3 separate regions of the Mus musculus genome follow, and regions 1 and 2 are each reported to be linked to region 3. The links are microRNA targets in miRTarBase. Many come from high-throughput screens and were not tested one by one. Region 3 holds a microRNA gene; each other region holds the end of a gene's coding sequence.
Evidence for each region. Region 3 holds the annotated microRNA mmu-miR-3082-3p (CACAUGGCACUCAACUCUGCAG, at 5,106-5,127, opposite strand). A microRNA usually pairs through its seed, bases 2 to 8, with sites in the 3' UTR of a target mRNA and lowers its output. Matches are read on the target gene's strand: a 7mer-m8 pairs with bases 2 to 8, a 7mer-A1 pairs with bases 2 to 7 and ends in A, and an 8mer does both.

Region 1 (10,029 bases), not on the chromosome of region 3:
GGTTAGAATTTAGTAATAAAAGCCAATGATACCTGCCCTACAGCCTGAATCTCACCTGACCTCTGTCTGGTTTTCTGTTAAGAGAGGTCCCATTCTAATCTCCAGGATGGGGAGTTCATTGCTTCTATCTGACTCCTGCTCAGAGCAAGGAGGAAATCAGCTATGGGATCCTGATAGCTGGGAAGGTTGTGTCGAGGAGAGTGTGTGGAGACAGTTATCTGGGAGCACACAGGACTGCCCTTCAGGATTTTGTCTGCAGAGCAATGAGCTGGTTGCCAGGGAATGTCTAGAATGGATAAGATCTGTCCATGGGAGGTCTGGGTTAGAAGGTTGAGAAAATCTTGATGGGAATGTGACCCTAAGCAGACAGTGCAGAAGAAGTCAAGAGAGCAGAGAGGGTAGTGTAGTGTGTGTTTACACATACGTGTGTATGTGTATATAATATGTGCACATATATGTACATATATGTAGATGTATGTATGGGCATGTTAGGCAGAGAAAGGCAGGTACCGAGAGGTATGGAGTCAGTGTGACAGAGTGGCTGCTGGCAGCCACCCTTAGAAGATTGGGTTTTCAGTTATGTTAGGTCAGAAGGGGCCCTGGCATTTGCAAAGTAAACTTTCTCGAGGTCTCAGGGCTGGGCACTTGGTGTAAAGGGAAGATATGGGAAAAAGAGGGTGGAATTTCCCAAGTGTCTTCCTTGCTTTGCTTTTTCAAATCTGTCTCTCTGTGTGCTCAAGGTTCCAGGGTTAGAAGGGACGGGGTGTCATTCCTCTTAGCTCTCAGAATCACCAACTGATCCTGGGTAGTGGGCTGGGCTCCTGGTAGCAGACTCCTTCCTGGAGAGAGGCCCGTAGTAACCCCACTTCCCAGGACTTCATAGCATGGAACATTTGTTCTCCAGCTGTTGTGGACATTGCTTGATAAACAGTTCCTGTTCACTTCTGGGGGGGTCAAGTTTCAGCCACTCACCACCAGCTTGCAGCTACTGACTGACGAGCACAAGAGGCTGATCTCTTGTGTTAAGACTGAACCCCACTTGAGGCCCTGATGACCCTCCCTTGTTTGTTTCTGCTGTGGAGAGGGGGTACTCACCTGGCCCCGGGAACTCTGTTGTAGGCTTCAGCTGTGCCTGACCATCCAGAGCTGCCTCAGCACAGAGCCAGAGGTGGAAATCAGAACATCTTTATGGCTTTAGACTTTGGATTCTTTTCTTTCTGGGACCCACCCCTTGCTCACACTCCCAGCTAATCAGAGATGCATGTCTGGACTAGATCCTTCAAAACCATCTGCTTCCAAACCTGGGCAGGTGAAGATCTGAGTCTCCTTCCTTATGTCTCCCTTTAACAGCTGAGACAGTTAATGTTGCAGTGATGACATTTCAGTTCATGGAGCAGTTCATTGTCAAGTTGGTGAAGGCAGCATTTGAATGAGTTGATTATTAAAATTCTCAAATTTTTATTTGTGTGTGTGTGTGTTGATGTGGGTGGCTGATATGAGTGTGTGATTGATGTGTGTCTGTGTGTCTGTCTGTGTGTCTGTGTGAGTGTGTGTAGGTCAGAGGACTTTGTGAAATTGATTCCTTCTTTCCACCTTTCCACAGTGCTGAGGTCTGAACGGATATTGTCAGGTTGTGCAGTAACTTTAGCTTCTGAGACACCTTTCTGGCCCCTCAAAGAATCTTTTAATTTTTTGAAAGTTAAAGTATCCACAATAGTGGTTACAATGACCCTGCCCTGGGCCTTGTGTCCCTCCTCAAACCAGCCATGGTCATCCTAAGTTCTTGCTTGACTTTGGTCTCTGGTGGTAAGCCAGACAGATGTATTGTCATCTGTGTAAGCATGGTAGTGTTTGTCTTAAAAGGTATGGTCACGTGACCACAAGTAACAGGAAGCCCTGATTGAGAGTGAAGTCCAGCCACCACCAAGCTTGCAGCGCATGTGACTTACAGAGAACTTATATCTAAGGCATGTTTGGATCTTGACCATGGACATGGTGAGATGAGAATGTGTAACTTCAAGCTGTCCAGTCTGTCTCATGCAGAACTAGATAACTACTGTGCTTTTTCTATCTTTTTCCTCTGGTTTTTAAAGACGGAGAATACACATTTAATTGTTAATATTTAATATACATATTAAAGTGTATGCAGCATATGCAGTTAGGTAAATTTGTATGTATATATGTGTATGTTGGTTTATTTGTGTGTATTATTCTCTATCTTACTTTTCTTTCTTTTTTAAAAAACGATTTTATTATTTAATATGTATAATTGTTTTTGTTTGTATGCATGTCTGTGCACCACATGCGTGCCTGGCACTCTCAGAGGCCAGAAGAGGGTGTCAGATCCCTTTGAGCTAGAGCTACTGACAATTGTAACTGCCATGTGGCAAGTGGGTGCTCGGGAGGAATCAAACCTTGGTCCTCTGGAAGAGCAGCCAGTACGCTTAACTACTGCTGAGCTGTCTCTCCAGTCTTCTTACTGTGTGTGTGTGTGTGTGTGTGTGTGTGTGTGTGTGTGTGTGTGTGAGACCACGTGTACACACACAGAGGCACGTGCACACACACAGAGGCACGTGCACACACTAAAGTTAGTGTTATTGACGATGCTCCAAAATGGAATTAACCTGGTTATCCATCAACAGGTAAATCAATTAAACTGATAGAATAAAACAAAAGGTTTATAGTATTGAAAATAATAAAATAAAAATATAAGATGTTACAGATAAATCTCTAACATTTCATTCAGTCAAAAGAGTCAGACACAAAGATACACACATACTATATAATTTCATTTGTGTGATGATTAAAAGCAGGCAGAGCTAGTGATGTTTAAAGAAATAAATAAGAGTCGAGCTTTTTAAAAAGCTTCCCACCTGCTCTGAGCAGAACTGACTCATTGTGGGAATAAGGCCAAGAATTTGTTTCCTTGCCCCACCCACCTTTGATTATTAAGTATAGTCAACAACTGTGGAATGACCAAATAGGGAGCTAAGTAAGAGCCCCTGGGAGTAGTGAGAGCGCCCCCTATAGTTCTCGCACTGAAGTGCCACCCTGTTTGTCATCAGTCAGAAACTCAACCTGATGAAAACTGAGGGGTAGGTAGCCTTGGGGTGTGATTAGGATTAGAAGGCTATGGGGATGAGGGCATAAATGAATCCTAGTACTTTATCAGAAACAGAGAAGAATCAGATTCGCATGCATGATTTTCCTGCCTTTTGTTGAGCAATGCTTTGTGCCACCTTTAGACTCTGCCTGGAGGACAGACTCACCACTGTACGTGAACGTTTGACCTTCAATCTCCAGAACAGCGAGGTAAATAAATCTCTCTCCTTTATTAAAGTTAGGATCCTTGGGTATTTGATAATAGATCGATGCTTCATCCTATGTAAAAACAGAACTCTCTGAGGTTAGGCAAGCTAGGGTTCTCCAACAGAAATTATTGAAGAAATATCTGCCATTATTTAGACTAGGTTTTCTCTCAGATTTTTTAAAAAAAGATTTATTTATTATTATATCTAAGTACACTGTAACTGTCTTCAGATGCACCAGAAGAGGGCATCAGATCTCATTACGGATGGTTGTGAGCCACTATGTGGTTGCTGGGATTTGAACTTCGGACCTTCGGAAGAGCAGTCATCGGTGCTCTTAACCACTGAGATATCTCTCCAGCCCTCTTCTCTCAGATTTTTATCCAGAACCTTTGCTCATTGTCCTGAAACAGAAATGCCTGTTCCCAGATGGTATTTTGAGATCTCTTATTCCTGTCTGTCTCAGCATAAACTTGGTTGTGGTTATTGTGGGTTCTGAGTACTCAGTCAAGATATGAACAGGTTGGAAGGGAATCATGGGAGATGACATCAAGGAACAGTGGGAAAAGCATGAAGCTAATGATGTAATGACGATCTAGATGGTTAGAAAACGGGCATCTGGGGGGCTGGAGAGATGGCTCAGCGGTTAAGAGCACTGACTGCTCTTCTGAAGATCCTGAGTTCAATTCCCAGCAACCACATAGTGGCTCACAACCATCCGTAACAAGATCTGGCGCCCTCTTCTGGAGTGTCTGAAGACAGCTACAGTGTATTTACATATAATAAATAAATCTTAAAAAAAAAAAAGAAAAGAAAAAGAAAAAAGAAAGGGGCATCCGAACCAGACTGAGGTGGGAGGCTGGGCAAATCTGGTAAGACTTTGACGTGCGTACAGTCAGCACATCTTGAATTCATTAGTATTTGTTAAAGCCTACTCGTGATTAATGTCAGCACTCGGCAAGCATGTATGTAAGTTCCGTGTATTGTGGAATCTCATTAGCGTTCTCCTCCGTCCACACGCCGAGTTCAGGCCTCTGAAGGCTTCCTTTGTTCTCTTACTTGCCCATCCTAACTTTCAACCCAAGGTCTCTCATGGAACCTGGGACTCACTGATTCAGATAGATTTGTTGGCCATGCAGGCCCATGGGTTCCTCCACTCTGTGCCTCTCCAGTGCTGGGACTACAGACCCGTGTCACTGTGCCCAGCTTCTCACTTGCATGCTGAGCACAGAGACTCAGGTTCCTAACCACGGAGTCATCTCCCCTGTCTCCACACAAGTTGATTTTCACATATGCAATTACCCATGTGATCATCATCGAATTCAAGGCATGGAGATGTCCCTAACTGTAAGAAGTTACCATATCCTGCCTGCTCTTAATGGGGGTACTTGCCTGAATCTCCGATTAACCATGATTAAGCCCTCAGAAGATCCCAAACTTAAAAAGCAAATGCCACCACATTGAGACCAACTTAAAATCTAAGCCACGCTGTTTATTTTTCTCCAAAGTATAGATGATACAAGCCATATGTCAGGGCCTGTGAACACTGGGCTGAAGTGGTGACTCTCAGGGGCACTCCTGCTTTTCAGGCAGGGTTGGGGGAGTATGGAGTGGTTCAGTCTCCTCTGCAGCCTCCTGTCCTAGTAGGTGGGCAGAGCCAGAGTCAATGCCAATCTTCTGTTACAAATAAGGAGAAGGAGGTTCCGGGGTGGAGAAGAGAAATGCAGGGCTTAGCCAAGAGGTGCTTTTTTTTGGTTTTCGAGACAGGGTTTCTCTGTGTAGCCCTGACTGTCCTGTCCTGGAACTCACTCTGTAGACCAGGCTGGCCTCAATCTCCCAAATGCTGGGATTAAAGGCGTGCGCCATCACGCCTTAGTCTTATGTGGTGTAGTTTAACACTCTAGTTTCCGGGTGGGAAAATGAAATCCCAAAGATGTAACAGCAGATGACAAAGGACAGAGCTGATCTTCGGAGCTAGGAGCCTGGAGGTCAAGCCTTGCTCTGAGCCTCTGAAATGCCAGTCTATTCTGGAACATTCTGAGTTCTCCGTGCTTAATGATCTTGAAGACAAACCTCCGAAACCTCTGCGAAGCCAAGATTTCCCACGATGAGCAGAGGACTGAGGAGGAGTGTACGGGACGTCTATGTCAGGTGACAGGGCTGAGAATGGGCACACCCTGGACACCAGCTTTATGCCTTTTTTGGAAAGACAGTATTGGAGGAACTAGGAAATGGATGGAACATGTCACTCAGTGACACAGTGCACATGGCTTGGAGAGTCTCGCTGGGAAACCGCTGCCTTAGAACGGACAAAGTGAGGGTGGAGAGGCTCTGGGTAAAGTGGGAAGCCTGGACTTCAACCTGCAGAACTTGTAATCTATTCTGATGACTCCTTGGGCATATATGCCACGTTGTCATAGGCAGGAGGTGGAGAGACTGCTGGGCTGGGGATGTTGAAATCCGTGCCAAAGGCATTGGGTAGGAAAATCACAGACTGCAAAGAAAAAAAAAAAAAAAAATCCCAAATTTTGGGTGGCTCTGCGGTCTTCGGGGAGCGTTGCAATAGTGCCACCCCGTGGGTATTCAGAGAACAGCAGCTCTCTCACACAAAAGCATCGTGTAACTGACATGTTAGCAAACATTTTCTAGGGTCAGTTATGAGCTAGGACTTGGACACACTGAAGCTAGCAAAGTAGACAAAACCTCATTTCCCCTAGGGGCTAGTGAGCTGATATTTCCTCTCTGGATAGTCTCTGCTGAACCCGGGGCTTCTATAGTTCTTGCCTGAACATGCTGCTCTCACAGTAGTAGTCACTCACTGGGCTCCTTTAATCTAGTTCATCCTCCTGCTCCAACTTTAAATGGCACCTGCCATCCTCTACATTCTCCTTCCAGGCAAGCCTCTGCGCTATCAGAACCCCCTCTTCCCACTCTCTTCCACCCGCCTCCTATTTTCCCCTGGAAAAATGAGCTTCCACTGAGACATGCTGTCTTTTCTGATGTGTCCATCTGTAGGCAGTCTGTGGGCTCCTCTGTGCAAGGTGCACGCCTCGCCCTCCCCAACCCTGTCCTCTGATTCCAGAAGAATTTCAGTTCTGCCTATAGTGTTGGCGCCCCCAGTGGCCACGGGTGAATAGTCCCATTTCAAAACTTGAGGTTCTCATCACAGCTCAGCCACAAAGGGGAAGTGGGAGGGGCTGCAGGAGTAACCTCTTCCTGGACAACAGGCAACCTCAGGGGCTCTGGACGTGGTGTGAGAATACTTACTGCGTTAGTTTGAGCACGGGTGGCTTGGCACCCAAAGTGGGTGGCAATGACAGCGATGAAGAACTCCAGGATGGTGAAGATGGTCAACACGGCAAGGTAGCCCCTGCCCACATCCTGAGAACCCAAACCCACAGTCAAGGCAAACAGAGCGTTTAAAAGTAAAGAGACCCCCTCCCCCCCCGGACCAAGAATAACTTTCCCAGGCAAGAGGCAGATGTGTGTACCTGGCTCCAGCCTTCCTGACTCCAGCCTTGGGCCTCACTCCTTCCATTCTACGGGGTCTCATCTCCCTTCCCCTGCCTTCCCCATCCGACGTGGGGTAGGGTCAAGGTGTCAGTACACTCATGAGGTCTACTGGAGCATCAGGCTCTGCAACTAGCCCAGGACTGCAGACTCTTGGGTCTTCCCTAGTCCTGGCTATAACCCTCATCTCTCTGGGTTTATCACCCCTTGGGACATCTGCCAACACACCCAGTTAGTGACACCAAAGTCCATGAGAAGAATGGCTGTCCCCGCGAAGGCTGCCATGGCACTGAGGATGTTGGTTCCCAGACTGCTCTTCAACTGTGGGAGGAAGAGGAGCAACAAGAAGAGGCAAAGAGGAGAAAGGACACTCACTGTGCCCAGTCTCCTGCACCCTCCTTCCCGGCCTAGGGGCTTGGGGCCATTAGCATTGGAGGAGGCTGGGTTTTCCTTTCCCCATTCTTTCTCTTCTCTTTCCCTGAGACCCCAAGAAAAGGCCCTGATGCCTCTCTCTGCTTCTTCCATCCTCTTGGGAGCTTCTGGGAAGGAGGCCTAACCCTCTTAGTGGCTTTCCTGGGACATGTTTGCAGCATGCATCTGCCACCTCCCTCCCAACCCCCAACTTGTCTTCCCTCAGGCCCAGGCCCATCTACCTTAACAACTTGGTGGCTATTCTCTTGGGGACCCTTCCTGCGACTGCCTCCTCTGAAAGTCTGTGAAGACTTTATCACTAGACTCTTACCATCTACCTTGGGTGGCATTTTGCAAGTGTCTCGTCTCCTCCTTCTGTATGTGGATGTTTAAATTCCTTCTGTGGACACTTAGAAAATCTCCAAGGAGTGCTTGTTGAATGGGCCAAATGAGTGAGCAGATGGGAGCGGGGTCCCGAGTGGCACCCAGGTAGGTGGGCACCATCCCTATCCCTGGCTCTCTGTGTCCATTCAGACTTACCAGGCAACTGGTGTGGTTCCTCTCAGCTGCTACGGAGAGGGACCCAGAGATGATAAACTGTGTGGGGAAGAGAGAGCCCAATGGGGTTTTGGCTGAGACACGTGCAGGGAGCATCATACCTAGGTCCCATCAAGAAGGTAACAGATAGAGGGGCATCAACTTCCTTGTCTGCATCTTGGCCAGGCATCTTGGATATAGTCCTAATCTTAGTGGTTCTGTAAGAGGCCCCTGTCCTTGGGCATGGTGGCACACGCCTTTAATCCCAGCACTTGGGAGGCAGAGGCAAGTGACTCTGTGAGTTCAAGGCCTGTCTGCTCTATGTAGTGAGTTCTAGGACAGCTAGGGCAACAAATAGAGACCCTGTCTCAACAAACAAACAAATAAACAACAACAACAAAAACAAACACAAAGAGGCCTCTCTCTGTCTTGAGACCTCAAGCCATGGTTTACTAGGTATGCATTTTCGTTGACGGTATATTACTGAAGTGTCATAGTACACTCACCTTTCCTTCTAATATTCACTTAACAAGTAGCAGTTGGGTGTCAAGAACATAAAATGAAGAGCTACTTCTCTCATATACACATGAGGGCATGTGCATGCCTCTCTCTCTCTCTCTCTCTCTCTCTCTCTCTCTCTCTCTGTATGTATGTGTGTATGCTTGTGCATGCATGCCTCTGTGTGTGTGTACTTGTGCATGCGTGCCTCTGTGCTAAGGTCAACCTTGAGTGTCATTCCTCCATAGGAACTGCCCACTTCGGTTTTGAGATACGACTTCTTATGTGGACTTGGGCTCACTGATTATGCCAGGTGGTTGACCAGTGAGTTGTGAGAAGGGCTGTCAGTCTCTTTTTCACCAGCCCAGGTGGGCTTTTGACAAGGGTGGTGGAGGTAAGGACTCAAGCCCTCACTCTTGCCGTGTAAGTTCATTACACACTGAACTCTCTCCCTGGCCCTGTGAAGTTTTAAGATAAAAGCTACATATGCCCCGCCTAGGCCGCAGGACCCTGTTGTCTCTCGAGAGACTGACAAACAGGCGTTTATTACCCCTCCTACCATGGGAATGGCACACATTTGTGACAGATTTTGAAGCAGGAGGGATTTTAAAGAACAGTGCTACCTTTGTTTCTTCCCAAGGCAGTGCCCACTTTAGACTCCTGCTGGCCAACATGTCCCTCCCTCTTGGGTCCACTATGGACCACTAGAAGCAGGGCTTAGAGCTTGTTCCCAGCCATTTAGCTGTAGCTGTGAAGTTTCAGCAATGTTGGTCTCTGACCTCCACTTTTAGGGGCTTCTGAGCTCTTGCTGAGACTGTCTGGGATATGCAGAGGGGACTCTACCGTCATGCACAGCAGAGCCTCAATGAAGACCCCGTTAAGCTCATCAGAAAGCCGGTGCTTCCTGGAGGTAGCTGGAGGCTCCCCATTCCCAGAGGCACTGGCCCCTTTGTAAGGCACAGACAGCAGGGCTATCTTGCAAACTCCCTCTCTTTGGGACCTCAGAGCAGACAAGGTAGCCCTGATTTGGTTTTCCAGTGATGTATGACCAGAAGAATGGACATTGGATAGGGAGACTCCCTACGGACCAGCTCAGGCAGGGCTGGAACCCACAGAGAGAAGCAGGGGTGGGGTGGGGGCTGGGTATGGTTGTGGGGTTAGGACTCAGGTAGCCCAGGTGTGATTAGGACACTGGCCTGCTTGCTCCTCACCCGTAGTTTCTGGTAGAATAGTGATGATAGCTATTACTCCCATATTAGTCTTGTGAGGGGTGAGTAAAACTCTGACATACGATAGGCTATGGATAGGAAAATGTCGGAAGTGGGACAGGGCGAGGTGACTTGGGCAAAGCCACTCCTTAGCCGAGGATGGCTACCCGCACTCACACAAGCTCCTCCCCAGAAGGGGACGCCACCTTCGATGAAGAGCATCCCCAGGTGGCCTCGCCGAACCATAAGCAGGACGCTGCCGAAGCCAAGGTGGATGAGACCGATCAGGATCTGCACCGTCTGTGGGAAGCAGAAAAGGCTCACGCCACTGACCTGGGACCACGAGCTCCACACCGCCCTCTGCTGTCCTGCAGACCTGGCTCTCCACAGCTCCTGGGGAATGAGCAGGAGGCTGAGGCCAGCCTTAAGGTAGAACCAGCTCTCCTCAGACTAGGAGGAGCTCCAGGCCACGGCTTTGTGACTGGTTGTCAAGGACAGCTCTGATTTGCTTTTCTGATTTTCTTAGTCTTGGTTCCTTGACTCTCAGCACGTTGGTA
Region 2 (9,231 bases), not on the chromosome of region 3:
AGGTCTGAAGACAATGTTGGGTTCCCTGGAGCTAGAGTAATAGGCAATTGTATGCTACTATGTGTGTGTGCTGGGAATCAAACTCAGCTCCTGTGCAAGAATACTAAATGTTCTTTCCCACTGAACCACCCATCTCTCAAGTCCAGAAACAAGTTCAACAAAAGTTTATTTAAAGATTAAAAAAATGTACCACTGAATTTTCAAAACTGAACTTTGAAATGTGGCTATAATTGTGTCCATGTTTGTTTTCTTTCCAGAAATGTGAAGACGTTTGGGTGGGAATGCCATCACCTATTCCTGTGAAATACGTTAGATACTTAGACTTTTTGATTGATGTATATGGCTTAGAGGACAACATGCTATGAAGGTTTTGATCAACTCTCTTTGATTTACTGTTCTCATTATGCCATGTTTATTTTAATAAATATAATTTCATTTAAAACAAACAAAAAATAAGAAACAAGGTTTGTATTAAATGGAAATTCATAAACCACAATTAATTTTCTTTGTCACTGTAGTTCCTCAGAACAGCTTGTTATATTGTTGATTTACCAGCACTATTAAAAATACCATTTAAAACATTGTTGACCATTTTATTGTATGTATTATTTATGAATGCCAAAGAATCTTACAATAATTTCCATCTAATATAATTCGATTCATTGCAATGTGAAAAGAAAATGACTTTTGACAGCTATGCATGACAATATAAAATCAAATTATATCAGAGCAATAAGTTGAGATTCTGGTAAGTATTTTTGAAATCTTTTTGACACATGTTTATTACTTACATAATTAAGTTTTGTAGCAATGAACCTCATCAAAATAATTCTCAAACCTCTCTAGAGTGAGTGTATATTTTCTAAAGTTAGTGAAGTTATGGGGAAAAAAAGCACCTTCTCTCTGCCAAAACACACACACACACACATTTAAGAGAGAAATTAAAACATAGGCTGTATTTATAATTTTAGTGTCTTTTAATATCTAAACTCAGCTTCTTAGCTTAGTAATATATGCATGTGTATATAATTAGAGCATGACCAAAAATGTATTATTTTAAAATATTTAGGGATATGATTATGGAAAGTTTCAAAGGTTTGTTTTGCTTCATTTTGCATACTTACTACCAGCCTCTAAAACTCTAGCCCAGAGGTTTAAGTAGTTTAAAATTACAATGGATCTCTCCTGCATTTCCCTGGTTTGAACTTTTCCCGCACACATTTGTCATGACACACTCTTGTCATACAGTGTATATCTGATTACAACCTATCACAGTGGAGCTTCAATGTCTAGAACTCTTCCCTATGCCATGCCAGGCCATAGTGCTGGGTGCTAAAAATATCATAAATGTATTTGTCTCAAAGGCAGTGGGAGTCTATCAAGAAAGGACTGTGCTTGTTAGGGGTCATCCTGAGGAGAAGAAGAGGAGTCAAGGCCATTTCAGGGTCCCCTTCCAAGAAGAAAGGGAACTCCCTTCTCCTTTCATTCTTCACTTGGAGCATTCCCTTGTCCCCAGATGAGTTGGCTCCTACTTTTATGATCCAGTTTGCTTCACAACAATGGCTCTTTCATTTTCTTTTAATCAAAACTAGCCAGTAAATTACTTCTCTTCATAAACCTAGGACAATTTCATGTGCACCATCAGAATTGGTCCCATAGAGCCACGTATTAAACTAGAATTCACAAGTTACAGTGGGCCCATAAAACTCTAATTTTGATGGCTTGGTTTTGTCCCAGTTTTTTTTTTTAAGGTAACTAACAATGCCAAGCTATTTTGTCATTTTAAGGTTATTCTACTTCCCAGAGAACAAGCTTTTAGAAGGGATAACATGTGCCTAGAAGTGTTCAGATTGACACATCTGTCACCTACCTATTCAACCCCTCACTCAGTTATATTTCCCCCATTTGACTGCTCAGATAATTTAGCCCATGTGTAGACTTTGTAATTCACTTGAGAAGTGGGGGCAAAGGAAGTAAACCAATGATAGTGTGCCTGAGTACACGGGGTGACGACTATTTATCCTAAGTCATGGATCTGTGTTCCTGCCCTGGTGGTTCCTGGTTTAAGCTCACAATTAACAATAAAATGGCCATTATAGGAATCATGCCGATAAACATGATACATTACAGCCATACAGACACTTTAAATAATTATTCATTTTATAACTAAGCCATATACTGAAGGAGATTTATAATTCAGAGATAATATCCCCATTAGTAAAGTTTATGACCCAATAAACAGCTCCCACTAGTTAATAAATGCCAAAGCCATAAAAACAAAGACTATTAATGTAATAGAATTTCTGTGCCTCCCTCTCTTGCTGGTGGTCTGAAGATACTGAAGGAAAATGCTATCTTAGGAAAAACATTTATTCTCATTATGTAAATATCAATGAATGGTCTTACACTTGAGTTGGAAATTTCCCAGCTCCCCTTGGTCACAGGTGGTCCCTAAATGCTAATGCGTTCTGCTTAGGTTTCAAGCAGCAGATAACCATTTTTAACAAATAAACTCTATGACTCAAATCTTTAGGGCAGATGGAGAGGGGGACCAGGATTTCTGCCTCTTCTTTTTATTTCTGGGAAAGAGAAACTCTAGGTTTCTTTACCTTTGTATAAACCGATTATTACCTCTTAACATTTTCTTCCTGTGGTGAAAAGCAAGAATTACATGTGGGTGTCTGGGTGAGTTGAAGGTTAATATAGGCAAACCTTTTGTCCTCTGAACTAATTGATTTTTAGTATTATTGGAGTCCTGCAAATGATTGCTAAAGTTATTTGGAAGCACAAATCAAGTCATGACTTTTAGTGCAAAAGTAATTAAAAGATGTTGAAGTTCAGAGTAGTGAGATGCTGAGTCACTGTGTGAAGAAGCATGCTACTGTCAGAAGATGACTAATTGGCAGTATTACTTGGTCTTTTCCTTGTCACCTTTTTTACCTATTACCTAACCATCTGAAACAGAATGCAGATAAGCCTATTGCTTGGCTTAGCAGTTACTAAATGGTTGAGATTTTAGACAATAGAGAGGAAGTGAAGAGCATTATAGTTTTGAACATATAATAGTTGAAACTGCTTTTTTCTATATACTGTCTTTGATTCAACTAATATCATATATAACATTATTGGTATTTTTATACTGTGTTACTGAATTTGTTTCCTTGGGGTTATAGAGCTTCTAGGCTTTCTGGATCCCTCAATCACAGTTTTAGAATATTTAAATTGCCCTTCATTCATCCTTCCTTCCTTCAAATATCAGGTAATTGTTGATGAGTAAAACAAGACCTCATGTTGTTCAAAAACAGAGCAAACAACATTATTTTTAAAAATTGGGGAAAATCCTTGTCTTTCCAACTTGGATTTATCTCAGTTTGATTGACACCTACTTTTCTGGCCTTTCAGCTGCTTTTATTCCAGCTGCTTTCGTCCTTCACCTTGCTCTTCTTCCATGCATTATAAATTTTCTAGTTATGACTTCAGTGCCTGGAATCTAAATGAACAAGTCATGTTCCTCACAAAATATTTATGCTATTGAATAATGTAGAATCCATCCAATAATAAAATGCCAGGGTCTTAATGGTTTGTGCACTCCCTTTAGATATTAGTCTGGATCCCTGAATTTTGAATGTCCTTCAACATTGTTCTATAAATGGTCTTTCAAACTAACGGCTTCCAAGTGATGGCAAAACCCACTGATCCTAGTGATGCATCCATCTCTGTCCTCAAGTTTACTTGACCAAACACTGAATTGCTTTAAACTGAAAGCAGGTTAAGACCTCTTCAAAAATGAGTCTTTTCAAGTTGACTGAGCATCTTCAGACACACAGTGCTTTTCAATTCCCAAGAGAATGTAATGTGTAAAAACTGGAAAGCCTACTGAGGCAAGATCAATAAGGCTATTGAGCAAATAATCAACCTGGGGCAATAATGGAACAAGCATAATTATCACAAAGGATAGCACTGATGGTAATTAGTTTAAAAGAATCTTCCAGCTTGCTTTTGCCTGCCTTCTACCAGGTTAGATGTTGGTTTAAATATACATTTGTACTTTGTGACAATTAATTCTCCCAAAGTTACAGTTCGCAGACAACTTTGTTAAAGAATGGCCAGCATGGGTACCTTTTTTTTGCATCTGTTTTCTGGTCCCCAGTTAAATTCTTTCCAAGGACACTTTAGAACCTATTGTGTGTCTTGTGTGTGACTCACATAGGAACCCAGGGGTCAGCTCTGCTGCTCAGAAATAACTGATAATGGCTAAGAAATGTGCTCTATGAAAAACTCCATAGTGGCTCTGCAAGCAGAGAATTAATGGCTCCCCAGAATCAGTGGGAGCTTTGACTTCTAAACACTCATTAGTTAAAGCAGTGAGGCCTGATGTTATGCAAGTTAGAGATGGAAAGAGGGACCACTCCTCCCTATTGTCTATTCTGAACAGAATCTGCACATTTAACTCAAAGTGCTGAATAGATCAAATACATCAAACCAACTATTCATCAATCTCCCAGCTTCCTGAGCACTGTTTTGCATCTGTGTAAAGCCAACAATACGACCCCACTATAATATTGAAATTCAGAGGAGTACATGGCTTGGTAAAAACACACAGAAAAAATGTATTCTCCTTTACCAAAGTCATCTTTCTGTTTCCTTTTTCTTATACTGCCTATGCAAAGGACCTTTGACTGCCGTAGGGACTTGGCAGAATTACTTTTGCCTGCTTTTTCTTTTTCTCCCATACCACTCTGGCTTGTCATTATTACTGTGAGGCCACCCATGGGATAGAGAACAGGAGATGAAAATATTGCCAGTTTTAACTATGATCAGACCCTACAGAGAGAGAAGAAAGACAGCAAGAAACAATTGCAGGGAGTTCCAGAGGAGAATGGAGATCATCACCTGTGTGTGTGACTCAACCTTAAAGAATTTGACCTTCATCTAGAGGGATGAAATATTACTGGAAAATTTGGATCTCTAGCCTGAAAAGATCATGCCTGGATTTGAATATTATTGGCTGTATTTGTGTGTGTGTGTGTGTGTGTGTGTGTGTGTGTACTTGTAGAGCTGAGCTTGGGAGGTGAGAAGGTTTGATTAGATGACTGTTGCTAGAGAGTTGACTGATGGCTTGGATTAATTTTGGTAAGATTGTTGAGAATGGGAGTAATTCGTGACACAATTGGGATGGTGGAGATGAGAGAGTGAAATCACAATTATGATTGAGTCCTTTTGACATCTGGGTAGAAGATGTTGGTGTTCACTGAACTGGGATGCATCAGAGAAAACTTGGATTGAACGAAGTCAAGATTTTTGCCTGGGGCTGGCAAGATTTTTCTGTACATAAAGGCACTTGCCACCAAGCTTCCTCCACACACTGCCCATTCCCCTGCTCCATGTCCCAAGTTAAATCCCTGTAGCCTACTTAGTGGAAGGAGAGAAACAACTCTGAAAAGTTGTCCTCTGACTTCCAAATATGCCCATGCATGCAGAAACATGTTTACACAAAATACATAATTTTAAAAAAATAAGGATTTTACTTGAAGTCAGAAGTGGTGACACACAATAATTTCCACCCTGGTGAGTTGAAGGACAGCCTGGGATATGAAATAAAATTCTTTCTTACTTGGAAAGTAACAGAAACAGATTTTTTTAACCTTAAAATGTGGGTAACTTGGGGAACTGAAAAAAATGACAAGTTTTGATAAGGCAACCTGATAAAACAGGTCTGAATTTTCTTTTTCTTTTCTTTCTTTTCTTTTCTTTTTTTTTTTTTTTTTTTTTTTTTTTTTTACAGAATGGTATGGGCTAGGCCTACATTATTTGAGTCATTAGAGTGCTGATATAAGAAACACGGTGTTCATTTTAAAGAAGTTTTTAAAGAAAAATCTCAGTGCCAGATATTGTTAGACAGGCTGCAGAGGTCCCCAAAACAATAAAAGTTTTTGCCACTGCCCTTGGTTACCTACCATAGCTATGTGGTAAGACTCTGTTGCTGAAGACACCACACACTTTGTTTCCTAGACATAAAATTCTTGAATTGGCCAGAGAACTCTCTAAACTGAGCAGCTTTTATAATGCTGAAAGGTGTTATGGAGGTTGCTGGGGAGAATAACATCAATGTTCTTATCCAGCACTGGACCCTGTGTACAATACTGGTCTATGAGGCAAAATGTGCCCACTGATGCAAGACTATACATGGTAAAATCTTCCTTGATTGTACTTAAGGCCACACTACGGGAGGGATTTCATGCCTGGCACTATAAATATGGCCAAAAACCAGGACCAGGAAAATAAAAGACCTTTGGGGAAACACCTATAGTGTTGTTTTTCTGAATGGCCATGTTGACAAACTGCCTTATATTATTTGTTTATTAAAGTTTGTGCTGCCCCCAGCCTTGGTCAGTGAGTAGTGTTTAACATAGAGATGCATTACTATTCAGAGTGCTGACAATAAGTGATTGTGAGAGCTCAGCCATAGATGGTATCTATTTCAACACTTTCTCAAGGCTCATCATACAAGGAAACATCATACAAGAGGGAACAGAAAGAACATAATCACCAGAGAATGGAGAGAGTTGCTGTGAAATGCTGTCCTGTAGCTGGCAGTGGCCACAGAGAACTGGGAATTATGGTGGCTGGCAGCCACACCTGGCTTAGGTCTGTGTGTTTGTCTCTTATCTATCCTGGAGGACACAAACAGCGTGCTTGTGTTTATTTGCACAAACATGTCCTTTTAGTGTTTCTTATGAACAAACATGGCCATTTAACACATGCCCCTGTCTTAGGTTGATAAGAGTCATAGAACATCAGTGTCCCATCTTTGACTGCCAGCCCTCATAGCACACTTTTTTCCCATTCAGACCAAAGCCACAATATGCACTGAATGCATTTCTTCATAGCGATGAATAACTGCCATGGTGAATGACTGAGCTTGCCAAAGATGATCCTATGTGAAAGCGAACCAATCTGCTTAAAAAAAAAAAAAATGGAAAGTTAAGAGCAAACAGGATTAAGGTTGTCTGTGGGGAATGTGCCAAGCACTCAATTCAGTTGTACATTAGCAACGATCAGACACAAGACCTGTCCTCCCAGTATGGGGGAGGTAGTTTTGAGAATCAACAGGAAAAACTGTTACTTCTCAGGTAATAGTGGAAACTAGGCTCCAAATTAATTCAGCTGGCTGATAAAGATGTTTATTCATCTTCATAATTGGAATCATACTTACTAGAAGACTCAGTATCTGTGTCCACTTGACGAACCAATCTTTCAGGCAGCCACCAGGCTCCATCTTCTTTTTGTGAAAAAGCAAAAACAGAACCTTTCCCCCATATTAAAATGGGATCTGTACCATTCCATGTATTAGTTAGGAGGTCTCGCCATATAACCATGGCATAGAAGCTGGAAGTGACTGGATGCCAATGGCGATCTGCTGCAGACTGACCTTTAGCACCAGTTTGCAAAAAGCTTAAAACAAATAAGACAAAGGCAAGGTGTGCTTTTGGTGACATTGGAGGATATAATTCGCCCTTTTTTGATTTTAAAGAAGATACTGTTTTAAAGCTCCCCAATACCTTGTCCTTGTGAATTATAAGGAATCCCAGTAATATGGGTAACATTAAATTGCTAACAAAACATCTCAAATGCTTGACCATAATAGGCAGTTCCATTATCTGTTTTAATCTGATTTGGAACACCAAGCATAGGAAAAATAATCCAGGCAATGACCAAATACATTTTTAGCTGTGTCTCCTGTTAAAGCAGTTGCAACTGGAAAGCATGAAAAGGTATCAATAGTCACATGTGCATATTTTTTATTTTTCTAAAATCAGAAATATGAGTATCTATTTGCAATAATTGATTAAGTATAAGTCCTCAAGAATTAACACCATTATATGGAACAGGTAGAAACTGAGGACATTGAGAACAAGTCTTTACAATTTGACATGGACATTCTCTAAAAATACCAAATTATTATCTCAAGCCATTACTATTTTGATGATGTAAAGAATGTTATATGGCCAATTGTTCCTGTGTATGGCCTATAATCTGCCTGGGATACAAATCTGCTGTGGCATTGCCTTAAGAGGTCTTATCCAGCCAGTCCAGGATGAGTTCCTAAATGTCCAAAGACAGTCCTTTAAAGGGATAGTATTCTCTTAACTTGAGTTGTATATGCATAAACAACTGCAAAATTTGAGAATTAGCAGTATCTAAATAGGAACAATTTCAAGCAATTCTAATCCCTGAGCAAGATATATATATAATATATATAGTATATTTATATGTATATATATATATATGTTGTGTATATTATATATATATCAGGATACAAATTAAAAGCTTGATTTTTCAACACTATAAAAGCAGTGGTTACAACACATAGTCTTATTATTTGTGCTGAAGTAGAACGAAACTCAAAAGAATAAACATGTGATCCAATCACATCTACTTCTCTTCCATAGAAGGGCTGTTTGTAAATACAGTACATATATTCTTTATGGGATGCATGCATAAATTTACAGAAAATACAAAAGCATACATACAGGCACATTTTAACATATTGTCTTTTGTATAATGATTATCAGTTTTGCCTAAAATGTTAGCTATGCAATAGGCCAAATATCAGCATTCTTTAATAACTAATTTATTTACTGTTTGAAACAAGGAATAGATGTCTCATCAGGTTTTTAAGACATTCTTTCCAAAATATTTTCATGATTCTATTCTACAATCCTTTATTAACACCACAACAGCTTCATAATAGGACATTAAAACTTTACTTGGATTGCAAAACACATGAAACTCAAGAAGAACGAAGACCAAAGTGTGGACACTTTGCCCCTTCTTAGAATTGGGAACAAAACACCCATGGAAGGAGTTACAGAGACAAAGTTTGGAGTTGAGATGAAAGGATGGACCATCTAGAGGCTGCCATACCCTGGGATCCATCCCATTATCAGCCTCCAAACGCTGACACCATTGCAAGATTTTGCTGAAAGGACCCTGATATAGCTGCCTCAGTAAAAAAGTCCCCCATAGCCTCCCCTGCCCTGCTCCCCTACATATCCACACCCACTTCTTGGCCCTGGCATTCCCCTGTACTGGGGCATATAAAGTTTGCAAGACCTAGGGGCTTCTCTTCCCAGTGATGGCGGACTAGGTCATCTTCTGCTACATATGCAGCTAGAGACACGAGCTCTGGGAGTACTGGTTATTTCATGTTGTTCCACCTAAAGGGTT
Region 3 (10,029 bases):
ATGCCAGCACCTGTTTCGGGATGCCAGTCAGCCTGTTGAGCGTGCCAACCCTGAGGGTCTCTGCTATGGCCTCTTTGGGGACCTGGCCTTTGCTGTTAAGGAAAGCCTGGTGGCTGCTGAATCTGGACGTAAACCCTATGCTGGTGACCGGCGCCACCCCATCTTCTTCAAGCGCAAGTTGGACCCTGCAGAACCTTTTTCTGGCCTCGCTTCCAGTGCACTGAGCGTCTTTGAGACGGAGTCTAGCGGTGGCAGCATGAGCTGGTTCGTGGATACAGCTGAACGTTATGTTCTGGCTGGCCGGCCACTAGCCGAGCTCTGTGATCACAATGCAAAAGTGGCTCGGGAGCTTGGCCGCAATCAGGTATGTGAAGCTGGAGACCCAGGGTCCGAGACTGCTGCTGTAGTTGGGGCATCATGCCCACAACCCCCCTGAGCTCAGTCACAGTGGCAGCCTCTGTCACAGTATTTGACAGTGTAAAGATCATGGGAACCAGACTAGCCCAAACTCAGGGTGGAGGCCAAGGAGTCCCGTGCCTACAGCCCGCTCTTCTACCTCGTTCTTGGTGTTGGAGCTGCCTTCTGCTCTCTCTCTTCCCCATATCTGTTCCATTGCTAATCTTAGCACCAGACACCTCACAGATGTGCTACTGTAGAGTGGACACTGCTCTTTCCAGGGGCCAGTTTCCTGGGTGGTAGTAGATCAGGCCATGGGTTGGTATATGACTCTGCTCAGGAGATGGAGACCCCTGAGTGGTTGGTCCCTCCCCCTAGGTGGCACAGACATGGACCATGTTACGGATTATCTACTGTAGCCCTGGCTTGGTATCCTCTGCCAATCTCAACCACAGCGTCGGCAAAGGCAGCTCCTGCGGCCTACCGCTCATGAACAGGTAGATCCTTGGCTACTTCCTGCCCCCTCCCCAGAGTGGACTGCCGGGGCCTGGCCACCCACAAGCCTTCCCTTCCTATAGCTTCAATCTGAAGGATATGGGCCCGGGGCTGGGCAGTGAGACACGGCTGGATCGCAGCAAAGGGGACACACGGAGTGATGCGGCGCTGCTTGACTCTTCAGCCACACTCGTCACCAATGAGGGTAGGCAGGGATGCTGATGGGAAAAGGCTGGGGTGCCACTCCCTGAATGACCTCCCTTCCCTGCTGGGCAGATAATGAGGAAACAGAAGGGAGTGATGTGCCTGCTGACTACCTGCTGGGTGACGTAGAAGGAGAGGACGATGAGCTGTACCCACTTGACACAGAACATGTGCACTGTGAGTAGGGGCTGGGTCAGCTATAGAGGGGTCCAACCCAGAACATGGCTCTGTGAGCAGGAGCTGAGTGGAGCGGGAAGCCTACACTCAGGTCCATCTTTCCTCACCCCTGCCTCCCAGCCGAGGAGCCTGAATATGTGCTGCCACAAGAGGCCTTCCCACTGCGCCATGAAATTGTAGACACACCATCTGGGCCCGAGCATCTGCAGGACAAGGCGGACTCTCCGCACGTGAGCGGCAATGAGGCAGACACAGCTTCATTAGCCCCGGTGGACTCCTCCTCCTCCCTCCTCTCCGTCTCACATGCACTCTATGACAGCCGCCTGCCACCTGACTTCTTCAGTGTATTGGTACGGGACATGTTGCGCTTCTACGCTGAGCAGGGCGACGTGCAGATGGCTGTGTCTGTTCTCATCGTGCTGGGTGAGAGAGTGCGAAAGGACATCGATGAGCAGACCCAGGTGTGTGATGGATCGGGGCGGGGCAGGGGAGGGTCTCCCCAGACTGGCTGCTGGTTCCCTCATCTGAGCCTGTTTCTTTTCCACTGTACCCCCCCCCCCCCCCACACACACACCCTAGTGTTCCTGGAAACACTAACCTGAGCCTGTCCCTCCCCACCAGGAGCACTGGTACACATCCTACATAGATCTGCTGCAGCGCTTCTGCCTCTGGAATGTGTCCAATGAGGTGGTGAAGCTGAGCACCAGCAGGGCAGTTAGCTGCCTCAACCAAGCCTCCACCACGCTGCATGTCAACTGTAGTCACTGCAAGCGGCCCATGAGCAGCCGCGGCTGGGTCTGTGACAGGTGCGATGGTGCAGTTGGGGAGGTTGGAAGGGAGGCAGCCCAGAGCTCCCCAGCTGAACAGCCCTCCCATTCCCAGGTGCCACCGCTGTGCCAGCATGTGTGCTGTCTGCCATCATGTGGTTAAAGGCCTGTTCGTGTGGTGTCAGGGTTGCAGTCATGGTGGCCATCTTCAGCACATCATGAAATGGCTGGAAGGCAGCTCCCACTGCCCTGCAGGCTGCGGCCACCTCTGTGAATACTCCTGACCTGGCCTTCCCTAAGGCTGATGCAGCGTCCTCAGCTCGATCCCGATGTCCACCGGACTAGGCTCACAGCCCCTTACCCATCCTGTGTACCAGGATGGAAGGTGGCTACAACTTTTTAACCCAATAAAAATCCAGAGCTGCTGTTTGGCCACTTGTCACTTTCATTGCGCCTTGGGTGGGAACTTTCTAGCACATGGGAACTTCCGGTAGGGGCGCTGTAGCCATGGTAACGCACAGTAGTCAATGGCTGCTCGATACAATTTTCCCTCCGCCTTGAGGAAATGATTAAATAGGGATGTTGTGTGGATGTGTGTGTGTGTGTGTGTGTGTGTGTACAATGCGCTTGTATGAAGAAGGAGGAGACTTCCAAGGCCGGCTGGCTACTGCTTGCAGGTAGCTACAGCAGTCCGGATGATAAGCCAATGGCTTGTGGTTACGCAAGTGTCGACAGAATTCCCAGCGTGCTGCGCGCCTGCACCCGTATGTTCATGGCGGCGGCTGGGCGGCGCGGTCTGCTTTTGCTCTTTGTACTATGGATGATGGTGACTGTGATTCTGCCTGCCTCTGGCGAAGGGGGATGGTGAGCCATAGGAAATGGGTGGCGGGAGGGAGCCTGAACTTAAAGCTTTGACTGGCCTGACCTGTTGTCCCTGCAGGAAACAGAATGGGCTGGGAATTGCAGCAGCAGTAATGGAGGAGGAGCGTTGCACAGTGGAGCGTCGGGCACACATCACGTACTCCGAATTCATGCAGCAGTATGTGTGCCTGCCCCAAGTCTCAGCATGATTCTAGGCATACTACCAATCATGGTCTTTGGCTGCGGAGGTCTCACTGCCTGGTGTGTAGGAGAGGCCCCTGCAGAGTTCAAACTCAGTGCAACATTCTCCTCTTTCCCCCCAGCTATGCCTTCCTCAAGCCCGTCATCTTGCAAGGACTCACGGACAACTCGGTGAGTATTCGTACCCTGTGGGCAACTGCTTCTGTTTGGCCAAGTGCTCAGTTACCTTATCCTTCATCCCCAGAAGTTCCGGGCCCTGTGTTCCCGGGAAAACCTGCTAGCCTCGTTCGGGGACAACATTGTTCGCTTGAGTACAGCCAACACCTACTCCTACCAGAAAGGTGAGCTACACACCCTGCAAGGTTTGCCTTCACATCTCAAAGGCAGAACTGACCAGTCCCGACTGGCTCCCCCTTCTTGTAGTGGACCTGCCCTTCCAGGAATATGTGGAACAGCTGCTGCAGCCCCAGGATCCTGCATCCCTAGGCAATGGTGAGCCAGACCCAGGCAGCGGTGGGAGTGGGGTACTTGGGAGCCCACTGTTGCCAGTACTCCTGCCTATCACCCTCTCTGCTGGCAGACACCCTGTACTTTTTTGGAGACAACAACTTCACTGAGTGGGCATCCCTCTTCCAGCACTACTCTCCGCCACCATTCCGTCTCCTGGGAACCACCCCTGCTTACAGCTTTGGAATTGCAGGTAGGGGCTACTTCAAAACAAACTTGGGGGAGCCCATATATATTTTGTTCATCAGCTATTCATAACTGACCCCACAGGAGCTGGATCTGGGGTACCCTTCCACTGGCATGGGCCTGGTTTCTCAGAGGTTATCTATGGTCGGAAGGTCAGTACAGTGTTATGTGTGTGTTATGTGTGTGTGTAAATCTGGTGTCTATAGTCCATTGCACACATAGTGACCTTACACTCCTGCCTCCAGCGCTGGTTCCTCTACCCTCCTGAGAAGACACCTGAGTTCCACCCTAACAAGACCACATTGGCCTGGCTGCTGGAAATATACCCATCTCTAGCCCTGTCAGCACGGCCTCTAGAATGTACCATCCAGGCTGGTGAAGTCAGTAGCTGGTAGGTGGGGGTTGGGCTAACTCAAAAAGCCATGAATCAAAATTTTTTTTTTCTTTTCTCCCAGGTACTGTATTTTCCTGATCGGTGGTGGCATGCCACACTCAATCTGGACACCAGTGTCTTCATTTCTACCTTCCTTGGCTAGCCAGACAGGCAACTGGCAAGCCCACTGCACCAGCACATGCCAATGTAGTGCTCACAGACTTTATTACAGGACAGTGGCAGCAGCAGCAACCTCAGCCCACCCTCACCCACTCTCCAGCCCAGAAGGGGGACAAGGGAGGCTCATGGTCCAGCAAGGGGTATGCTGAGAAGGGGAGCAGTTCAGAACCCATCAGCAGGGCCGATGGGGGCAGGCCCAGGGACACAAACTATACAGGGACTGGAGCTTCCGTCTCCAGATCCTCCTGGGCCAGGGTGCCAGGCAGGACATGGGGCCTCAATAGTCCTCTACCCAGCCGTTCTCAGAGATGAAAGCGTCAATGACTTCCTTCATGGCCAAGTTGGGGATGAGCTGTTCCTGGGTCAGAGGGCTCCGGGTCACAGGGTCAAAGTGGCCCACACGCTGCAACAGAGTCAAGAGTGTTCAATGGCCTGAGTATACCGATCCGGGTACCAAGGCTCTCCATGGCCCGGTCTCCATGGGCCCTCCTTACCTGCAGGTGCTCCTCAATGTCCTTGCGGTCATAGGTGATACCACTGGGTGTAATGCAGGGTTCCCGCATCAGCTCAAAGCTAATCTTGCCACACAAGTAGTCAGGGATATCTCGCTTCTATAGCACAAGGGGAAAATGTCTAGAACTGGAGGGGGCTGTGGGGGTCACCATACCAGCAGCAGCCGATGAGCTTCCGGGGGTCCTCACCTTTCTTTTCTCGTCCACCTGAGAGAAGAGCTCATCCATATCTGCCATGTATTTATCCTGCAGAGTTGAGTGCCATGTGTGGGCAACTCCTGTCTCCACACAGACACACACACTCTGTCCACCAGGGCACTCATGTCATGCATGGGCCAACAGATCCACCAAAGGCTGGGGCACTTTTCATGCCACACACAAACACACACACAATGACCCACATGTGGACTAGGGGCACCCTCACGTGCTTGGCCTCAATGCAGGCCTGCTGGGCCCGGATGTGGCCATCATCTTCATGACCCTCGTGGTTCCGCTGACACTCCTCCAGTTCCCTGAGGGTTAACCAGAAGCTAGTTGGTGATGGCCCTGACCAGGAAATCACAGAGCCCGCCCCATCTCAGGCCTCTTTCCTCCTGGGCTTCCCATGTACCGGTTGTTGTCCTTCAATAAAAACACTTGTGCTGGTGACTCAGTGTCTGCTGGGGGAGGGACCCACCTCTCTCGCTCAGCAGCAATGAGCCTGGTGAGATATGAATGCAGCTCACTCTCCTGGTGGATGCGCCGTTCCTCGATACTGTTCCAGCGCTTCTTCTTAGCAATGCGAAGGGCACTAGGAATATCATCCCCAAAGTTGAGTCGCTGCTCCTTGGCCAAACTATAGGCTAGGGGAGTGGACACTTTTGGTTACACTTGTCAACAATCCTGGTCCCCCAAGGTGCCCTCAACCTTGCATCTTGTCAGCCCACCTCGCTGCAGATTGGCAATGGCCTCATCATAACTCTCCATCTCCAGCTGGCACTGCCCCAGGAAGAAGTGCGCCTTCACAGACTGCCCGTCCAGCTCCAGGGCTCGCCGGCAGTCAGCAAGTGCCTGTTCAGGCTGCTGCATCTTCAGATAGCACAGGGCCCGGTTAGTGTAGTACACTGCCACAAGTGGGTTCCGAGTCTGGGGACCAAGACCAGGCGTCAAAGAGTGTGGGCTCAGTTGATCCCCTCTCATTTAGCAAGCTGAAAGCCAATGATCTGGTCAATGCTCCAGCTTTGGGGGCCCATGGCTGGAATAGAGGAACTGGAGATTTCCGAATTATCAAGAGCTCTGGATTCTGGCCATGCTTTCTTGCCTCCAACTGCTTTTGAGAGAAATCCCACAACCCCTCTACAAGCTCTGGGCTTGGAAATCTCAAGGGGCAAGAGCTCCTGGTGTCATCCTTAGTCTTACTTAATCAAGCATCCCGCCCGCCAGTTCCCAGTCAAATCAGCCCTAGACTCGGGAACAGCAATCCGGGCACCAGGGGAGCGAGCGAGCCATCGAGTCCAGGCTGCCAGAAACCCTGTCCGGGATCACAAAACTGGGAGGCACATCGGGCCCCGCCCCCGCCCCTCCCGCACTCACGATGGCGCGGCCGTAGCAGGCCGCCGCCTCCGGGTACTTGCGGCCCACGAAGAGCCGGTTTCCCTGCTCCTTGAGCTCTTGCGCACTCGGGCTCTTATCAGGGCTGCCGCCGCCACCAGTGCCCAGCCGCGCGCCGCCCTCCTTTTCCTCCTTGCCCTTCATGGCGCCGCGCGGCACGGCTTGGGCTCCGCGCCCGGCCACCTAGATCTCGCAGCCCGCGCAGCGATCAGCTCCGCCCGGTCGGCGATCCGCCACCGGAACTTCCGGTGTGGGGCGGAGCTGGCATGGGGACACGTGAGCAAAGGCGGAGCCTCGTGGATTGAGCCAGTTCCCTTAGCTCTGAGAAGCTTCCGCCGCGCTCTACAGGCCCCGCCCTACAGTAACCGAGACCTACCCTGCTCAGACCAAGGCTCCGCCCATCGGCGCTCAAGCCCCGCCCTCCGGCCCCAAGCTGGGCGAACGTGGCAGCGGTCATTGAGAAGTGGCCTTCCGAGGGCCGGTCACTAGGCCCGGGTCCTAGCGCACCACCAGGGCACACACGGGCTCACGCGACAGCCTGGGAACGTCTGGACCGCCGGTAGGAAGGCGGAATTGAGGGTAGAAGAGAGGCCCGCAGATCAGACCGCTCTCGAGGGGCTTCCTCGGGAATCGGGAGGAGCTGCCTGCGGCCATTAATGGCTGAGAAACAAGCACGTGACACGCTGACACCGAAGGACCTTCTGCGGTTGCTATAGAAGTAGCTGCGGGTGCACGGCTGGACTCTTGCCCTTCTCGCGGTCATGGGGAGGAGCTTCTTCAAGGGCGGAGCCGGCTGGTTTCCTTGGAGAGCGCCTGCACCAAGACCCTTTGACCCCATGGTCTGTCGTTGAGGCATTTCTAGCCGCTGCTGCATCAGCTGTTGGCCGCTAACACCCCCAACCCCGGACTTGGAGAAGCAGAACTCGGCTTTCTGCTGATCTGGGCGCCGCAGTCAAACTTCGCTGCGTGGTTTCTGCCACTGCCTCGAGTGAGTAGGTAGCATCTTTGCCCAAGTTGGGTGGGGGCTCTAGGAGCTCAAAAAAAGCTATCCCCAGAACCTCCTTGTCACTCTTTGCAGTGGTCCTGGAGGCAGAGGTTTCTGGGGTTGCAGCTTTCATATACGAAGAGGCGGTGGCTACAGTTCCTAGCTTGCTAACCCTCCAGTACACACTCAAGCACTACTTGCTGTTTCTAGCCCAGGTGCAAGAGTTCACTGCCTTTCTGAGCGGGGCTGAGCGGGGCCTGAGAGGTCATCCAGGGCCCCATCATGGTTCTGGTGGTTAGTAACTTGACCCCAGAACCCTTGTGGACCTCACTAGTGAGTGTCTTAGAGTTGTAGACTCTTCGTCTTGTGCAAACTTGGGGGGCAGATGTATGCCCAGACCTGCTGCCTGACCTTCACCCTGACTGGGCCTCCCACAAGGACCTGCCAAGAATTACAGGACCCAGGCCAAGTGAACCTAGCTCTGTTGTGGGCTTGCGTTTGGAAGGGAGGCTGAAAGAACAGGAGATTGGAAGCTCTTGTAGCACAATAAACGATTGCTGAACTTGGACTGACCTGGAAGTCCACAGTTTCTTCCCAGGGGCCCCACCTCCTGTGGATTCCGGCCATGGCCAGGAGTAAAGCTACCACCTCAAGTCAGGTGCAGAGCTTGAAGGGAGAGAGGGAGCACAGACCGTCCTGGAGGGGAGGTGTCTCATACAGCTTGGGTGAGGGGGCAGACAAGCCTGCAGAGCCCCAGGACAGCTACCTGGTGCTGTGTAAAATATTTATTCATTCTCCAAAAAGGCTCAGACTGCAAGTCCTGGGGTCAGTGGGGAGGGAAGGGGTCTCCTCTAGGGCCACGCTCAAGGTCCTCCACCCAGCCCTGGCCCAGTAACACCCCTCCCCCTGGAAAGCCTGGGGGGGGGGGGTGCAGCAAGGGCTGCAGTAAGACTTGGCTTCAGCTGGGGGTGGGGGATCACAGGGCCCCCCTGCCCCTGTGGGGAAAAGCAGCCGAGAGGTCCATTCATATAGGGCAGACATGCAGGCCCACCTGGTGCCTGGCTCTAGCCACATGGCCCTAGGGAGCAGGTCAAGGTGGAGGGGGGATATCGGCACCCAGCAGGTCATAGGCAAAGACGTTCCAGAAGATGGCGAAAAGCAGGAAGGTGCCATAGGCAAGTAGCACCACCCACCAGCCGCACTGGTCCCTCAGGCGTTCCTCATAGCTCCGAAGGATGGTAAGGCCCATGCTTACACCTACCACTGCACCAGCCAGGTGTGCCATGAAGCTGGGCTGTGGGCCTGAGGCAGGCAGTGGTGGGGAGAAGCGTAGCCACACAGCCCGGCCCACTTCGGAACTCACTGCAGAGGGAGCAACAGGTGGGAGGGGCCCTGTCTGCAGGTAAAGGGCCTCCCAGCGCCCCACCTGCCCCACTACTCACTGCACACCAGAGCCAGCACCATCCTCAGCAGCTTGTATGGACACCGCATCCCAGCCCAGTTCTGATGGGGGCAGGCAGACAGGCTGTGAAGCATGTCCAATGGGCCCCTTCCCACCTCCCCAGAAAGGCAGTCCCATTACCATGACAACATTGGCCAGGTGTGCTGAGCACAGGGCATAGACCCCTCCAGAGCCCCCTACCACGGGGGCACGCATATCTGTGATAGAGACAGTCAGGGAGCCTGTGGGCAAAGGGAGAGGTGAGGGCACAGCTGGCCCTCCCCTCAGCAGGTGAGGTAGGCAGGGGACCCACCCACCTATATGCCAGTCTCACCTGCCAGCACGCCCGCCAGGTAGAGCAGGCTGATGCGAAGCACGCCATGTACCATCTCCAGGGGCACACCGATCATCAGCTGCAGGAGGGCATTGAACCCTAGCTGCTCCAGCCTGGCCACAGAAGAGCATGGCAGAGGTGGTCAGATGGGTACCCTGCCTACTCCAGACCACCTCAGGCAGTGTAACTTAGCTGGGAGATAAGCCTTCAGAGTCAGTGGGCAGGTGCTGGGGGTAGGAGTGGAGAAGAGGCTCTGGAAGGCAAGGCTCACTTACCCGACATGCATGAACATGTAGGTGAGGAAGCGCCATGCCCGAGCACGGTGTCCTGGGTGATACACCAGAGGGCTCTTCATATATTCAGGGTGGTAGGTCTGGAGCACCCACTTGTTGAGACGTGCCCCGTAGCACAGGAACACGATGATCTGGGGACACTAGTGTTAGGGCTGGTCAAGACTAGGGACTCAGGAGGCCCCAGGGCAATGTGTAGGCAGGCCCACCTGGGCAAGAGTGACCGAGGCCATGAACACAGGGGGTGGGCAGGTGCGGTGCCTGTAGAAGTACCAGCGGCGGTCCACCTCGCAGGGCAGGATCTCGTAGGCCACATAGCGCACAAACCGCTTGTAGACACTCAGGCCTGGCTCATCTAGCAGTCCGTCTCGGGGCAGTGCCCGCTGTCCGTTAGCAATGGCTCTCTTGAAGCTGCTGGAACGCTTGCTGCTGATCTGAAGGGCAGGAACCTTAGTGTAGGTGACAGTATTGTTCCTGTGGAACCCTACCTTACTTGGCTGTGTGGCTGCTAATGGTCTGAGGGTCTTCCA

Region 1: the mRNA of Ms4a15 is a reported target of mmu-miR-3082-3p. Seed matches in the 3' UTR shown: 7mer-m8 at 5,573-5,579.
Region 2: the mRNA of Efhc2 is a reported target of mmu-miR-3082-3p. Seed matches in the 3' UTR shown: 7mer-m8 at 406-412.

The regions. Positions count from the first base shown.
Region 1 is chr19:10,973,524-10,983,552 of GRCm38, forward strand. It overlaps Ms4a15 (membrane-spanning 4-domains, subfamily A, member 15), which reads right to left. Exons shown (of 7, transcript NM_001034898.2): 3 at 9,650-9,772; 4 at 7,770-7,826; 5 at 7,047-7,139; 6 at 6,576-6,689; 7 at 4,784-5,802. The coding sequence ends at 5,686. It overlaps Ms4a10 (membrane-spanning 4-domains, subfamily A, member 10), which reads right to left and starts at 1,177. Exons shown (of 9, transcript NM_023529.3): 1 at 1,096-1,177.
Region 2 is chrX:17,123,399-17,132,629 of GRCm38, reverse strand. Efhc2 (EF-hand domain (C-terminal) containing 2) reads left to right here. Exons shown (of 16, transcript NM_028916.5): 16 at 258-581. The coding sequence ends at 365. Among named protein-coding and RNA genes, the nearest start is that of Gm4203, 12 kb to the right of the region's middle.
Region 3 is chr17:25,826,261-25,836,289 of GRCm38, forward strand. Mir3082 (microRNA 3082) reads right to left here and starts at 5,168; the gene lies at 5,105-5,168. Jmjd8 (jumonji domain containing 8) reads left to right here and starts at 2,783. Exons shown (of 9, transcript NM_028101.5): 1 at 2,783-2,903; 2 at 2,980-3,078; 3 at 3,224-3,272; 4 at 3,346-3,442; 5 at 3,525-3,593; 6 at 3,682-3,801; 7 at 3,879-3,946; 8 at 4,040-4,174; 9 at 4,250-5,583. The coding sequence starts at 2,812. The coding sequence ends at 4,330. It overlaps Stub1 (STIP1 homology and U-Box containing protein 1), which reads right to left and starts at 6,659. Exons shown (of 7, transcript NM_019719.4): 1 at 6,432-6,659; 2 at 5,786-5,984; 3 at 5,536-5,701; 4 at 5,284-5,371; 5 at 5,049-5,105; 6 at 4,842-4,958; 7 at 4,374-4,750. The coding sequence starts at 6,593. The coding sequence ends at 4,625. It overlaps Wdr24 (WD repeat domain 24), which reads left to right. Exons shown (of 9, transcript NM_173741.3): 3 at 1-364; 4 at 775-893; 5 at 975-1,096; 6 at 1,168-1,272; 7 at 1,393-1,733; 8 at 1,894-2,078; 9 at 2,155-2,470. The coding sequence ends at 2,323. It also overlaps Rhbdl1.